2 linked regions of the Styela clava genome follow. The protein of the gene in region 1 purifies or fractionates together with the protein of each later gene. This does not show direct contact. Links are inferred from orthologs where the notes say so. Each region holds a gene or a part of one and is shown on either strand. Other genes may lie near its edges. The genes, in order: UBX domain-containing protein 6-like and tether containing UBX domain for GLUT4-like.

Region 1 (8,210 bases):
TCAAAGGGTTGCCACTTGACACTAACAAGTAGATCAAATGGCCATTTCCCGTTAACCTGTCCATTGAGTACAGAGCCATGAATATACAGTAGAAGCGCTACCCACGAAATTAATTCGTTCCGAAGACCCGTCGTATTACATAAGGCGTTTTACCTATGTAAATGCCCTAATCCGTTTTAAGTCCACGTAAAACTCGGACATCATTTTCGTATAAATTATATTAATGCTTAAAATCCAACAACTACATGTTAGAATTAGATTACAGCATAATAAATAAACAAAGAACATACGGAAAGAAGGAAGAACATAGTAATAACGAATAAAAACTAAGAACGGTATGCTTATGTACCTTTGTTTACCATCGTCATAATCAAATGATTGATTCCCAAATTACCGTCCGCCACTGATGGAGAATTAAGACCTGAAAACTTGTTTTATTTTTTAAGTCGGTTTTTACTTGATTTGAGTCGGCGCTAATCTTTCATGTCTGGTGTTATTATTTTAATTTTGCTTATTGATATCGCCAACTTAAAGTGAACGATATTTTCATCAACGACGTCGGGATAATGATAAAATCCGCGTTAGATATTAAATAACATTTAAAGGTCATTTTATAAACTCTTAATTGTAAGAAATGAAAAAAATTCCTGTTATGTTCGGTCACTATCGAAATTGAGGGTGAAAACAATTAATTGCGACACAATTTGCTTTCAGATTTATTGGAATAGACGATAATAATTGTGAATATTGTGTAATAATTGTAATTGCGCTTTTTGAATTTCTTTCATGCTGGCCATAATTTAGTGCCACGACGCGCACGGCTGATTTCAATTGCGATAAAAAATAGAATGGCTGCGAATATTTTTTTTTAAATCGAAAGTTTGACGGCGCTAGGAAATGTGCGTCATATTCGGTATTCTCAAAAACACCAAAAAAACGATATTCGAAGGTCGCAATATTCAAATATTAGGTTTGTATTGAACATCCCTGCATTAAATTAATCTAAAATGAACAAATATCACTATGCAAGTTTTCGGAAAAGAATTGTTGGATTTTTCGTATCTAGAGCCTTTCGTACGGAGAGTTTCTACTGTATACAAGTTTTTCGTGATATTTTTTGCTTCCATTTTTTTTGTGATTGGCGAATAAAAAACGATTGGTTGATTGATTCATGTGAAAACTTCATTTGGGAATTGAAAGTTTCTTCATACGTTTACAGTGATCGTAGCGGCTGCTATCGATCGTATCGTCGTTTCTTCCAACGTCTTAGTACGGTGTGCCATACTTCCTTTAGCTCTTTAATACAGTTTCCCAGTCTTTCAAATTCTGAGATATTTTTTAACAACAGCATTAAACGGTTCGGCGACATACATATTCGACATAACAAATGAAGCGCCATAAGTGTCAAATCGTTACTAATCTTGATGACGCCACCTCATCTGTTAAGGTTGACAATACTATTCTGATTTAGGCTGCTGATGTACTGGGTTAAGGCTGCACGTTCACCGAAGGTGACCCAAAGATACCAGCATAAGTTACTACTGAGGTTTTACGGAAGGTAGTGCTATATGGAGTGAGAGGGGGTGTTACGAGGTTGTAGTGTAAACCAATAAAATGAAATATGACAAGATTTCGCTTTAATTTATATAAATTTACGATTCCGTTGATTTTAACATAAGTTAGGGGAATTTCCCAACTTTCCGCACGGTGGAATATTTTTAAAATTTAATATTCGTTTTATATATCACCATCAAATACACTGTATTAATGAACTGGATGAGAAAATATTCTTTCTTGGATAAATTACGCTTTAACTGAGTTAAATAGACGATTTCTTAAATATTTTCATTAAATTGAGGGGAATTTCCCTACTTTCCGCACGGTGGATTTTTTTTAAAGTTTAATATGTATTTTATATTTGTCCACCAAATACACTGTATTAATGAATTGGATGAGAAAATATTCTTTCTTGCATAAATTATTTTTTAACTGAGTTGGATAGACGATTTCTTAAATATTTTCATTAAATTGAGGGGAATTTCCCTACTTTCCGCACGGTGGATTTTTTTTAAATTTTAATATGTATTTTATATTTGTCCACCAAATATACCGTATTATTGAATTGGATGAGAAAATATTCTTTCTTGGATAAATTACGCTTTAACTGAGTTAAATAGACGATTTCTCAAATATTTTCATCAAATTGGGGGGAATTTCCCTACTTTCCGCACGGTGTATTTTTTTTAAATTTTAATATGTATTTTATATTCGTCCACCAAATACACTGTATTAATGAATTGGATGAGAAAATATTCTTTCCTGCATAAATTATTTTTTAACTGAGTTGGATGGACGATTTCTCAAATATTTCCATTAAATTGGGGGGAATTTCCCTACTTTCCGCACGGTGGATTTTTTTTAAATTTTAATATGTATTTTATATCTGTCCACCAAATACATTGTATTAATGAACTTGATGAGAAAATATTTTTTCCTGCATAAATAATGCTTTAACTGAGTTGGAAAGACGATTTCTTAAATATTTCCATTAAATTGGGGGGAATTTCCCCACTTTCCGCACGGTGGATTTTTTTCAAATTTTAATATGTATTTTATATTCGTCCACCAAATACACTGTATCAATAAATTGGATGAGAAAAAATTAATTTTTGCATAAATGGGTTATTCCCTGCGCTCCCAAAAGCGTACAATCTAGATTCTAAATCTGAACCTATCCTGGTACACCTTTTATTTTCAGGTTGTGCGTCATCTTTGTGTCCATATTTCGAGAGTACCGAATTTCGCTACTTTCCGCATGGTGGATTTTTTTTTAACTTTTATTATGTATTTTATGTTTGTCCACCAAACACACTGCATTAATGGATTGGATGAGAAAAAATTCCTTCTTACCTAAATTACGCGTTAACTGAGTCAAATTGACGATTTCTTATATATTTTTTTTAATTGAGGGGGAATTCCCTACTTTCCGCACGGTGGATTTTTTTTAAATTTTAATATGTATTTTATATTTGTCCACCAAACACACTGCATTAATGAATTGGATGAGAAAAAATTCCTTCTTACCTAAATTACGCTTTAATTGAGTTAAATTGCCGATTTCTTATATTTTTTTCTTCAATTGGGGGGAATTTCCCTACTTTCCGCACGGTGGATTTTTTTTAAATTATAATATGTATTTTATATTTGTCCACCAAAAACACTGCATTAATGAATTGGATGAGAAAAAACTCCTTCTTACCTAAATTACGCTTTAACTGAGTCAAATTGACAATTTCTTATATTTTTTTCTTCAATTGAGGGGAATTTCCCTACTTTCCGCACGGTGGATTTTTTTCAAATTTTAATATGTATTTTATATTTGTCCACCAAATACACTGTATCAATGAATTGGATGAGAAAATATTTTTTCTTGCATAAATTATTTTTTAACTGAGTTGGATAGACGATTTCTTAAATATTTTCATCAAATTGAGGGGAATTTCCCTACTTTCCGCACGGTGGATTTTTTTTAAATTTTAATATGTATTTTATATTTGTCCACCAAATACACCGTATTAATGAATTGGATGAGAAAATATTCTTTCTTGAATAAATTATTTTTTAACTGAGTTGGATAGACGATTTCTTAAATTTTTTCATTAAATTGAGGGGAATTTCCCTACTTTCCGCACGGTGGATTTTTTTTAAATTTTGATATCTATTTTATATTTGTCCACCAAACACACTGCATTAATGAATTGGATGAGAAAAAATTCCTTCTTACCTAAATTACGCTTTAACTGAGTCAAATTGACGATTTCTTATATTTTTTTCTTCAATTGAGGGGAATTTCCCTACTTTCCGCACGGTGGATTTTTTTTAAATTTCAATATGTATTTTATATTTGTCCACCAAATATATTGTATAAATGAATTGGATGAGAAAATATTCTTTCTTGCATAAATTATGCTTTAACTGAGTTGGATAGACGATTTCTTAAATATTTTCATTAAATTGAGGGGAATTTCCCTACTTTCCGCACGGTGGATTTTTTTTAAATTTCGATATCTATTTTATATTTGTCCACCAAACACATTGCATCAATGAATTGGATGAGAAAAAATTCCTTCTCACCTAAATTATGCTTTAACTGAGTTAAATTAGAGATTTCCTATATTTTTTTCTTAAACTGGGGGGAATTTTTCTACTTTCCGCAAGGTGGATTTTTTTAAAATTTTAATATGTATTTTATATTTGTCCACCAAATTCACTGTATTAATGAATTGGATGAGAAAATATTATTTCCTGCATAAATGACGCTTTAACTGAGTTATATTGACAATTTCTTAAAAATTTTCCTTCAATTGGGGGGTATTTCCCAACTTTCCGCATAGTGGAATTGTTTTAAAATTTAATATATGTTTTATATATCTTCATCAAATTCACTGTATTAATGAATTGGATGAGAAAAAATTATTTCTTGCATAAATTACGCTTCAACTCAGTTGAATTTTAGATTTTGTCGATAAATGAGCTTCTGAGCAATAATTCATTTTATCGAGGAAAAAATGTGTTGTTTCAATCATTTTTGTTTTTTATTATGTTTCAGGTCTGTTGTCAGTTTCTAAAAGGGAGAATCACCTAATTTTTTTGCATCCATGTAGCCTCAATTAAGTGAATTCGCGACAACGCGAATTCGTGGAACATGGCGGGTTCAAATTTGGAAAAATTGGTAACTGTCCGCTGTAAGTGGCCGCTAGCTTTACCTAGGTAGTTGTAGGAACATGTGAAAAGATAATCCTGTAAGGATGGTAGGATGGTGTGTTTATGCATTATGCTCAGGGACTCTTCTGACCTTACATCCTTAAAGCCTTTAGACGGTAATAAGAAAAAACTTCCAGAAATAAAGAAATCTTTATTCATAATCTAAGTTAGCACTTTCTGAACACAGTAATCATATCATCTTTTCCACACAAAGTGCTAAATAAAATTGTGAAGAGGGAAAAGATATTAAATTGAATGATTTACATACATTTTGTGATGGCTTTAATGATGATGTTTAAACTTTCTCTGCTACAGTTTTCTGTTGAACTAGGCCTATAGGAACCATGAAAAAATTTTTCCAGAAAGTCAAACTGGAAACTAAATTTCGAAGTGCAGGAGAGGGTCATAAACTTACTGACGAGTCAGGCCATGGGGTGCAGGAAAGTTCGAGATCTACACAACCTGTTCCTGTACGAGCAAATCCTATGTCAGAATCTCAAGCTAATGCAGCTATTGCGGCAATTGAAAGAAATGAAAAATGTAAGCAAACGACATCTACATCATCGTCAAAAATAATAAAAAGATTGGCAAAAGAAGCTGCGAGAGCTTCTGAAGATAATAAAGTGCCCAAGTCTGAACCTCTCAATGCTGATGCAGCAGAAGATTTTGTACCTGAACAATACTCAGTTGAAGGTGTTAAATTTATTTCTGCCTTATCTGGAGAGATCATGCAAGAAAAAGAACTTAATGCACATTACAAAGAAAGTTTCTTACTGAAGCTAGGTTCAGATGAAGCCATTGATGCTTCGTGTAGTATGATACGGACATTGAATAAAGATAAATCGAAGATTGAAATTGCAGTAAAAACCATAAGCAAATATATTGACAACATCATTGCAAATCCTGATGAGGAGAAATACAGAAAAATAAGGAAAGAAAATAAAGCATTTTCAGAAAGAGTTGCTCCTTTGGATGGAACAGAAGAGTTCTTAAATGCAGTCGGCTTCAAATTGACAATGGTGTCATCAGATGAAAAAGAAGAATTATATTTTGTACTGCCCAATGATATTAACATTGAAAATCTTAAATATGCAAAAGATTGTTTATTGGCTTCACAGCCACTCATAACAAAACTCCACAGAGACATGAAAATTTTTCAACCTTCTGATCGGTCTCTCACTTTCAATCTACCTAACTCGTTTTACAATTTAACATTGGAAGAAGTTCGGAGAGAACAGGGACTAAAAACAGAAGAGATTGAACTTAGTAAACAATTACGAACAAAACAAATGCGCGAAAAATCAAGGCAGACTAGAAAATATATTTATGCTTTGATTAGAATTCGGTTTCCTGAAGGGTACATTTTACAAGGAACGTTTGCAGTGAACGAAAAATTTGCTGAGGTGAGGGCATTCATAAGTGAGAATATAAATGTTGATTGGGCACCTTATACTTTAAAAACATCAACAGGGCAAACAATTGATCAGGATCACGAAACACTGTCTGCGCTTCAGCTCATACCATCTGTTATCTTGAATTTGAGTTGGATTGCAGAAGTACAGGCTCAATTGAATGAACAAGGTGTTACACTTTCTCTAAAAGATGAGGTTTTACAAAAACAGGAAGAATTGAACTGACAATTGTCATTCGGGTGAGAAAATTTCTCGATAAAATTTATATTTCACCATGCAAGTGGAAGCCTAATTTGACATCATGTGAATGTATTATTCGAGCTCAAATTGACACCATTCAATTTTGTATTTTTGTTTGGCATGATTAGCTTATTTTTAAAAGCAAGCATTAAAAAAGCATGTAGGGTGTTTACTTTTGTTTCATATTGTCTCTGTCAGTGTATGATTCATTGTGTTCTTATTATGCGAAGGTTGTTATCACTTATCAGATTACAGAATATGACAATTGGTCAATATTGTAATCCACTTACGGTACTTTAAATATAAAGTGGTCAACTACTTGTTCAAGAGCGTCAAATTTGCTAACAATAAAACACTTGCAATTGATGTCAGTGACATGGATATCATGAGCTAGATCTTAGGACAATAAATACCTGTTGAAAATTTATATGGATATTCATATAGCTCATGGTATTCCAATTGAATTGGTAATGTAATTTTTTTTGTAGCAATAACCTGTTTCGATGTCAAAATATGAAATTAAAGCATAGCAAATCACAGTGTGCCATTTTATCTCATTTTTATTCATAAAAAGTTTGAATATTGATAGATAGATATAATATTGTTACCCTGAAATGAGGATAAGAATGCTATCATATTTCTCTGCATTGACAACGCCTATCTAATATTTAGGCAACAGGCAGTCGAATATCTATTGAGTGTGGTATTCACTGTAGTTATATGAATTCTCAGGCCCATGATTTCATCTCGTAGGTAAAATGGTTGATACATTTTCCAGTCACTTGTGTAAGTGAGGAGACCATTTTGTAATATATCAATTAGCACTTTTAATTTTGAAATATGTGTTCTCACACATTTTTAGTCAGAAGTAAAAAACACCACAACAATTGTGTTGAGTTATCCTGAATATATTTAAACTTATATAATAATTCCGATATATTTATGAATTGTTCATTTTTAAAGTATTTATTGCAGTAATGATTTATGTAATAATGCCAATAATTGCCAGTGTTAATTTGTTGTTTCTCTCTCATGTTATTGTGCTTGAAATCGCATTTAGAATTAGTTGAAAATGTCATGTGGAGAACGGAAGGCAAAGCTTACCAACATGAACCGAAGTCTGTGAGGATGAGGAAGGGAAGAACAATCTAAGCAGCTCTTATGATTTTTTATTTGCTGAATAATTACGGCTGAATAGTCGATAAATATCAAATTTATTTTTTATCTCATTATTTATCTCGTTTAAAACTTGGCCCTGATCACCACACCCGTTGAAATCAGTTTTGGAGTGCAGCAACTACGTCTAGCTATGATGCCTCACCTTTAGTCCGTTTTTTTTTTATGTGCGCAAAGCCAGCTCGCATATCGAAATGATTAAATTTGAATATAGAATACAACTTCTCTTCGCTGTAAATAAATGTAAACATCACAAAGTAAATGCGACGTGCTAAGAAAAGTTTGGGGACCTGCAATATATCTTGCTTGTATAGTTTAATATATTTCGTGTGTCGAAATAATTGAAGCAACTCTGTCATACTGACTTATTGAGAGCGATGGCCAGGTTAAGAAAGAAGGTAATTAGTTATCGTCATTTTTCAAAATTTAGCTCTAGTAGGGTCGCGAACCCAAAACTCGAACGTGAAACCGTAGGCGCCGGGGGAGTTTACGGATCAGAGTTTGGTACGGATAAAATCGATTCGCCCTTCGTAACCAATGGACCAATCGATTTTTAGTTCGGAAGTATTTGCCGGAAAGCTATAACGGTACTATTACGATTTTTCGAATTTGATCCGA
Region 2 (7,101 bases), on another chromosome or scaffold:
TCAAAAACGCATATTTCGAACTGCTTACCATTATTAACGAGGCAAGGGCCGCGACGCGAGCTCAAAAGTTTGGGAAGCCCTGATCCATGGAACGTGAAGTTGTCGCCCAGCTGACCGTTCAATATCGCGTCACCATCGGCTTAAATCGTACTAACTGGAGAGGGATAGTGGCATTTTCGATAACTGTCGGCCTAGCTTTTTGACTGTTAAGTTCATTATCAAGTTTACAGCAATCGTTTTGGTTTTTCTATGGGCAAACGAGTAGACCTAAAGAAAAAGGGCAAAGGGGTCAACTCTTCTTCCTCCATCTTTGCCTGGTTTTACTTTGAAATGCTGAAAAAATTACTCATTTTCGCTAAACTCTATTAAGTAAAATTGATAAAGAAAAAGTTGTCAAATGCGCGGCGAAAACTAACAGAATTGTGTTAGAATACTTTATTATGATTGAATATTTTACATGTTGCATTTATTATTAATGTTTTATTGTTTCCTAATTTAAATGGTGTGTATATAAATCAATAAATTCATTTTACCATTCTATGTCGTTTACTCTCCATTACGTAGTGTTGGCCTCTAATGTTACGTCCAATGGAGATTTCGCTGCATTTATCTACTCTTTTTTGGTGTTCCGCGAGGCGAGATAAAAAGTGGAAGTGTTGCGTGGCCGAAAATGTTTGGGAAACGCTGGCTTACCGTATCTGACCGACATCTCTGAATCTATGGTGAAAATTGCATGATGGTATATAAAAATCTATCGAACCCTATGACACGTGCATAATTAAGTGGTTTACATCCTGTCGCTACTTTCAATCTGATATGAAATCGCTTAATTTGTCATGCACGCAATGTATGGTGGTCGGGGATTATTGGACAATAAGGCTAAATTCGTTTTACATATAGATTGCTGGAGGCACAAGACCTCCGGTTACCAGTTTGGGCTGCCAATCGGACCCGGAATTGACGTCTGGCGTCCCTGGCTGGGCTACGGTCGTCCCGAATTTACTGACAACAACAAATTTTTCCTGTTTCAGTGATTTATGCCTCAAATATTTAACATTTAATAGGTTTCCTTGATTATGCAAAAAATATTTAGAGGCGTGTAGTTTCTGAAAATAACGCTGCACGATCATCACTATTTCACGCGCAGCTCACACTGTTGCTTTTGATGTCTTTGGTATTTCACAAGCTTCTGTTGCATCAAATTTGAATTCTAGACATTAAGGTGTCCCGGAAAGATTTAACATCAAGTTGGAAATCCTATTGCCAGTCCATGTGGGATATGGAAGTAATAGGCCTAATTTATTCGTTCGAGAATCATGGACTTGATGTGGAGCAAGCCGTAACCCAGGGGTCAGCAACCTACGGCCCGCGGAGCACTATAATCCGGCCCGCGACGCTTCACTAAATTACAGTAACAAAACATCCGTTTTGACGAATATATTCTTTAGACTAAATTATATTATTACCTAACAATTATATAATTCACAATTACTCGTTTAATGAGCATATAATTTAATTTTAATTAGGCAAATGGCAACAAAACGCAGAAAAGTTTATGCTAAGTGCAAAGGGTTCAATGGCGCTGAAAATATTCGAATGATTTTTTTCAAAATATTTTATGAGATGCAATGATGAAATAAATCTATATTCTATTCGAGAGATGTATCACTGCTTAATTTTTATTATAAAAAGTACCATCCGATCGGATTTTCAACTTTCTGAAAAGATGTGCGGCCCGCTAATGACTTGCAACCTTAATTTGACCCGCGAGCGACAAAAGGTTGCCGACCCCTGGCGTAACCGATTCGTGCCACCCTGCAGCGGCGAGGGTAATTAAGCAGTGTAATCACAGATGCGCTGGCGAGCAACTTCATGCACAAATGGACATACTTCATGGAGATACTGACATATGGAATTTAATGGTAAATGTATCTGGACTGAATTATTCAATATTTGTCTTATCTTTTCATTGTATATTTATTCATTGTATAAAATCACCTAAATTACATCACAAAAATAAAAATTTGGACCTCATGCAATAATATTGAAATATATAATTGGATACACCAAAACTATCATTTGTATAAATCCGATTTGGCAATGGATTTAAATTTGGCAAAAAAAAAAAAAAAAAAAAAGATGGCGAGCATCTTTATAACGCCAAGTAAGATACGCCACGCCGCTCCTTTGGCGTGTTGAACCGAGAATCAAAAGTAAGCTTATGGTCGCGCCAATCACCCTGTTGCATGGAGTACCAATCCAACGTCAGATAATTATTTTCGAGAAAATTGCCGTCTTGTCACCGCAAAATTAGTCGCTGGTCCAAGTCAATGCATTTAAATAGTATGCAGAACCTGCCGAAACTAATGCAGGGCGGACGCATTTCCTTTATGTATTTAAAATTACGTCACACGAGAACTACGTAATTAATCTACCGGCGTTCCGTTTAAAACTAATGCATGGCATATAAAGCATCGTGGGCGTGGATCAGAATTCCCTGGTGCGTGAGCCGTGATTGCGTACCGGTACAGTGTAAGTCGTGTTATTTTCTAGGGATTTCCCTCCGTTTTGAAACATATAGAGGTACACGTCGGCGCCGACAATAATGAGCAAACGTATGATTTATCCCAAGTTACGCTGAAAATAAAATACCCCATTCCCTCCTTGCGCGATATTTGTATTATTCAATAGATGACTCGACAGTTTTCAGATGACTCAGTATATTTCTCGGTGCAGCTGTGAGACCATTTCACAGATTTTGAAGACCGTACCTGTATGTTTGTGCAGCTTTGCCTGACAAAAGGCTTTGGCGGTAGGAGAGTGTACCTGCAGATCTGACAATCTTTATTGGTACCCGTACTTTTCGTGACAAGGAAAACAATTTTTGACTAGAAAGGAGTTCTAAAATCTACCTGTAAAAACTATAAGCTCAAGTCAATTTCACTATAGGGGTGGTGACTCATTTACGGCCTATCTAATTGGGCAACATGAGCCGTGGCCCATCAGAAAAAAAATCAATTATCTTACCAAAATTTCCAATTTTATAAAATTATCAATATTCATACCAAAAAAATCGCGGGATGCCACCAAATTTTTTTTTACGATACCAGTAAGCCTTAACTTATATAAAAATAAAGCAAAATACCAAGCTACATACAGACATACAGAAAAGGATACTCCTGTAGTATGTGTACCGGTACCAGGTTAGGGTTAGGACAAAATGTTGTTCAGATGTTTCACATTATAGTTCTATTACGAGTTGGGGACTGTCTGTGTTAGCCAAGTGAATAGTCCCTTCACACAACTTGATGGGCCGCGGCCCATAGCCTGATGGGCCGAGGCCTAATTCGATGGGTCGTAGCCCCGGCCCATGGGCCGTAGAGGAGTCACCACTTCCACAGAACTGTATTTTCACTATTTGATTTGCAAGAAACTTAGTTAGAATTTAGAACTGTGCTGTCTATATATCCAGATATCCCTGATGAAGACAAGTCAGTCAACTTTAAATCCTTAGTTCTGTATCGTCAGAATGAGGTCCCGTGTAGTTTCATAACCATTTTTCCATATGTTATTCCTACCTGACTACATCATCCAAAAATCCCCTAGAAGTTATTGTGGTTCGAGACCCCTGATGTGTTAGTATTTTTGATGAAAGATTCAATTGTTTTATTTTTAAAAAGCATTTTCAATCTTGGTGTTTGACAGCCTAATCATATGGCGAACTCAAGCTTCTCGTCCAGTTACCAGTCCAAGTCGGGTATGGCTGTATGGGTTTACTTAGTCAGTTATATGTTTCAGATGCATGATCTTGATGGTAGAGGAAGCCCTAATCTACCAGCAGTAACATGAAAAACCTTACAACCCTAAGGTGACGAGGAGTCCAGCAATGCACTCGCACATAATTATCTCCGACAGGATTTGAACCTGAGAACCCACACAGCATAATCAGAGGTGCGGTGACGTGCGTATTCCTAACGCTTAGCCTGACAGCACGATGAGCCACGCCGCGCCAATTGTTGATACAAATAGAAATTAATTTTCAGATTTAGGTATATTTTTTGATACCAGATAATGTCTTTGAATTTGTCGATTTTGTATCCAAACGGCCGTCGCAAAAATGTAAAAGTTTCACCGAACGTAGTAATACTGCAAACTTTGGAAGATGTATGCAAACGAGAGAAACTGGACGCAGAAACTTTTTCGTTTTTATTTCAAAGAAAAATATTGGATGAATCGTTGTCATGGAGATATGCAAATGTACCAAATAATGCAAAGCTTGAACTTTTAAAACAGGAAAAAGTGAAGCAAGAATCTCCTGTAAGAATTGCATTGCAATTTGAGGGAGGGAACAGAGTACAGCATTCATTTTTACCGTCTGTAACATTGTCTGACATCTTGCAACACTGGGAAAGTGAACTTTCAACTTTGACCCCACCAGAAGGTCATGAACCTAGTATTTTGTATGTTAGGCAAGAAATAACAGGAAATTTTAAACTTTCAAAAACGACCCTAAAAAGTTTGGGTCTAACGAGTGGAAGCGCGATATTACGATTGTCGTATAAATTGGTAGCGGAAAATGAACCTATAGAAAAACCTTCTGAGAAAGAGGCATCTCTGCCAAAAGCTGAAATACCAGCTCAACAACCCCAGAAAATACAGGAAAGAAATGTTCTCAAACCGCCCGTTAAGTCGGAAAGCAATGAAGGCATGATGATAACTGAAGAGATGTTACAGAACGCACTGGAACAAACATACGCTACGCCTGAATCTCTCGGAGTAAATTCCGCCAGAAATAATGATTCTGTAGAGTCCATGGAGGTTGATCTGTCAACTTCTTCTTCAAAAACAGAATTTTTTGACGCCGTCGGCAATTCTTCTGCGGAAAGTTTGAAAAATGGTCGTGCTAGACCAAGACGTGTTCACTCGAATGAAACTGCCCCGAAAAAAAAAGTTAAACAGACACCATCAGAAAGTCCGCAACCTGATTTTTCTGAGTTTAAATTTCCAAAAGAAAGTGAAGGGATGGATGTGTATTCTACTGAAAATGAGGAAAATGAAATCGACGTTCGCCCTCTGATGACACCGTGTGACCGAGAACCTATATTCTTCAACGAACAAGAATTGCAAAGCGCTGAAATAAATACGGACGATCCAGGCGATGAATTTTTCGAACTCACAATTGACGACATGAGAAAAATGCTATCGGAGTTGCGTTATTTACAAAATGATTCAGAGGAAAAGCCCCTTCTTACAGCCCGGTCTCGAGAAATACAAAGATTCCGATCTATTAACCAATATCCTAAGATAGTTGTAAGAATCGTCTTCCCCGATCAAAGCGTGCTACAAGGAATCTTCCGTCCCGCAGAACCAGTGCAATCTCTTTACGATTTTGTGTCAAATTTTATATCATCCCCCGCAACGGACTTTTATTTATATACCACCCCACCAAAGGTCATTCTCAAAGACAAAAAATCAATTTTGTACGATAATCATCTCGTCCCGGCTTCCAAGGTATATTTTGGGATGAAAAATCACGATTTTGAACCTAAAATTTTGTCGTCAGATATTGGGAAATGTAGAGGAACAGCAATTGAAGCAAATTTAAAACTTCGCTCTGTTTTTGAATTGAAGTCTCCAACAGTCTCTGCTTCAAACTCTGCGCAAGGTGAGACGAGAAGAATATTTTGAATCAGCTATTGGCAGTGTGGCACATCGTGCTCAGCATTAAGTATTCGCAGACCACTGCACCTCTGATTACCGACATAGTGAATGCACTATTCTAATTGATTCAAGAGTTTTGCTGCACACTAAAAACACAAATGTATTTTTGTAATGTTTTGTCTGACCAAAGTTCGATATTTTTTTGCTTTTTCCATATCAAAAAGAAGGGTGATTAAGGGTTCTGACTCGCCAATCTCCCTGGGTATACCACTATCCATCACTCAACCTAAGTTTTATCTTTTCGAAAATTCGTACAGAGCTATTATGTGCATAATGGAAGCGCCACATTTATTCGATGGATTGTTTTTTTCTTTAAATATGCATATTTGTTCCTATTCAACTCAATTTCTTTTTTTTACAGAATTTACCAAAGCAACAAGCCAGCGTGGTCATTCATCATCAAGTGTTCCGGACAGCGAAACTCCGTCCACGAGTCGGCAAACCGGTTCAAGTCAAACTTCTTCGAACAATGCTAGTGGCGCTCGACCTAAAGTTCCTAAATGGTTCAAATTAGGAAAAAAGTAAATCGAGCTAGCTTTATATGATCGTTTCCATGAATCTTGACCCGATAATAGTTCTAAAAACTCACTGACCTTTGCCTCTTGAGTCTGCAGGCAAGCGAGTCAGTAGTTGTTTCTTCATTTCCAGTAAATATTTCGTTGATTCACAAGTGCTAGCTAACTCGCTCGAATCAAACATATAGGGTGTCCATAAAGTCTCGAATTTTCCAAAATTGCAAAGGGAATTCATTGATACCATAAATCGTTTTGGTCTTCACAGATATATTAAATAAGGTAGAAATACTTGAATAAGAATATATAAGAACTGACTTCATAACAAAATTGAAATTGTAAAGAGACTGAGGACCCTGTATAAGAAAAAAATTTAACCTTCTTCTCGATCAAGTTTTGAATTTGGCTCTATTTAGGATTAAGTTGAAAATTTAATTTTGGATTAAAGGGATTTTCCATCACCTGAGTTAAAACCATATTCCGTTGTGCAATACTATTTGCTGGTAATATTGGGTTATTTCTCTGCACTGAGCATTCATTGATTCAAACTACTATTTTCTGAGAATTCTTTAATATATAACTATTCGCAAGTTCATTAAGTTCCTTTTTTGTTCTACGTATGATCTTTTGCAGCTTTGAGTTGGGATGGCTTACAAGAAACAGGCCTGTCAAGTAAGGTATTACTTCAGAAACCTTTCAGTGATAAATTACTTCAGAAACCTTTCAGTGATAAATTTGTGCAAGAATTCGCCTGATTTGGCCAGAACTGATTTACAATATTATTGACTTTGCTCCAGAGATAAACATAAAAATGCTGTCAAAATATATAATTCAAAAATTTATTTCCGAAGAAGGGTTTTATGTGTAG

The links.
Region 2: the proteins of UBX domain-containing protein 6-like (region 1) and tether containing UBX domain for GLUT4-like purify together in Homo sapiens (affinity purification with mass spectrometry; 4 studies listed by BioGRID and IntAct, counting the BioPlex papers as one, with this or other methods). This does not show direct contact. The link is inferred for Styela clava from reciprocal best matches to the Homo sapiens genes UBXN6 and ASPSCR1.

The regions. Positions count from the first base shown.
Region 1 is NC_135254.1:13,395,339-13,403,548, forward strand, and holds UBX domain-containing protein 6-like, read left to right. Parts: upstream 1-5,032; 5' UTR 5,033-5,108; coding exon 5,109-6,401; 3' UTR 6,402-7,947; downstream 7,948-8,210. UniProt on the Homo sapiens protein: May negatively regulate the ATPase activity of VCP, an ATP-driven segregase that associates with different cofactors to control a wide variety of cellular processes.
Region 2 is NC_135260.1:3,079,334-3,086,434, reverse strand, and holds tether containing UBX domain for GLUT4-like, read left to right. Parts: upstream 1-4,032; 5' UTR 4,033-4,071; coding exon 4,072-5,665; intron 5,666-6,082; coding exon 6,083-6,246; 3' UTR 6,247-6,828; downstream 6,829-7,101. UniProt on the Homo sapiens protein: Tethering protein that sequesters GLUT4-containing vesicles in the cytoplasm in the absence of insulin. Modulates the amount of GLUT4 that is available at the cell surface. Enhances VCP methylation catalyzed by VCPKMT.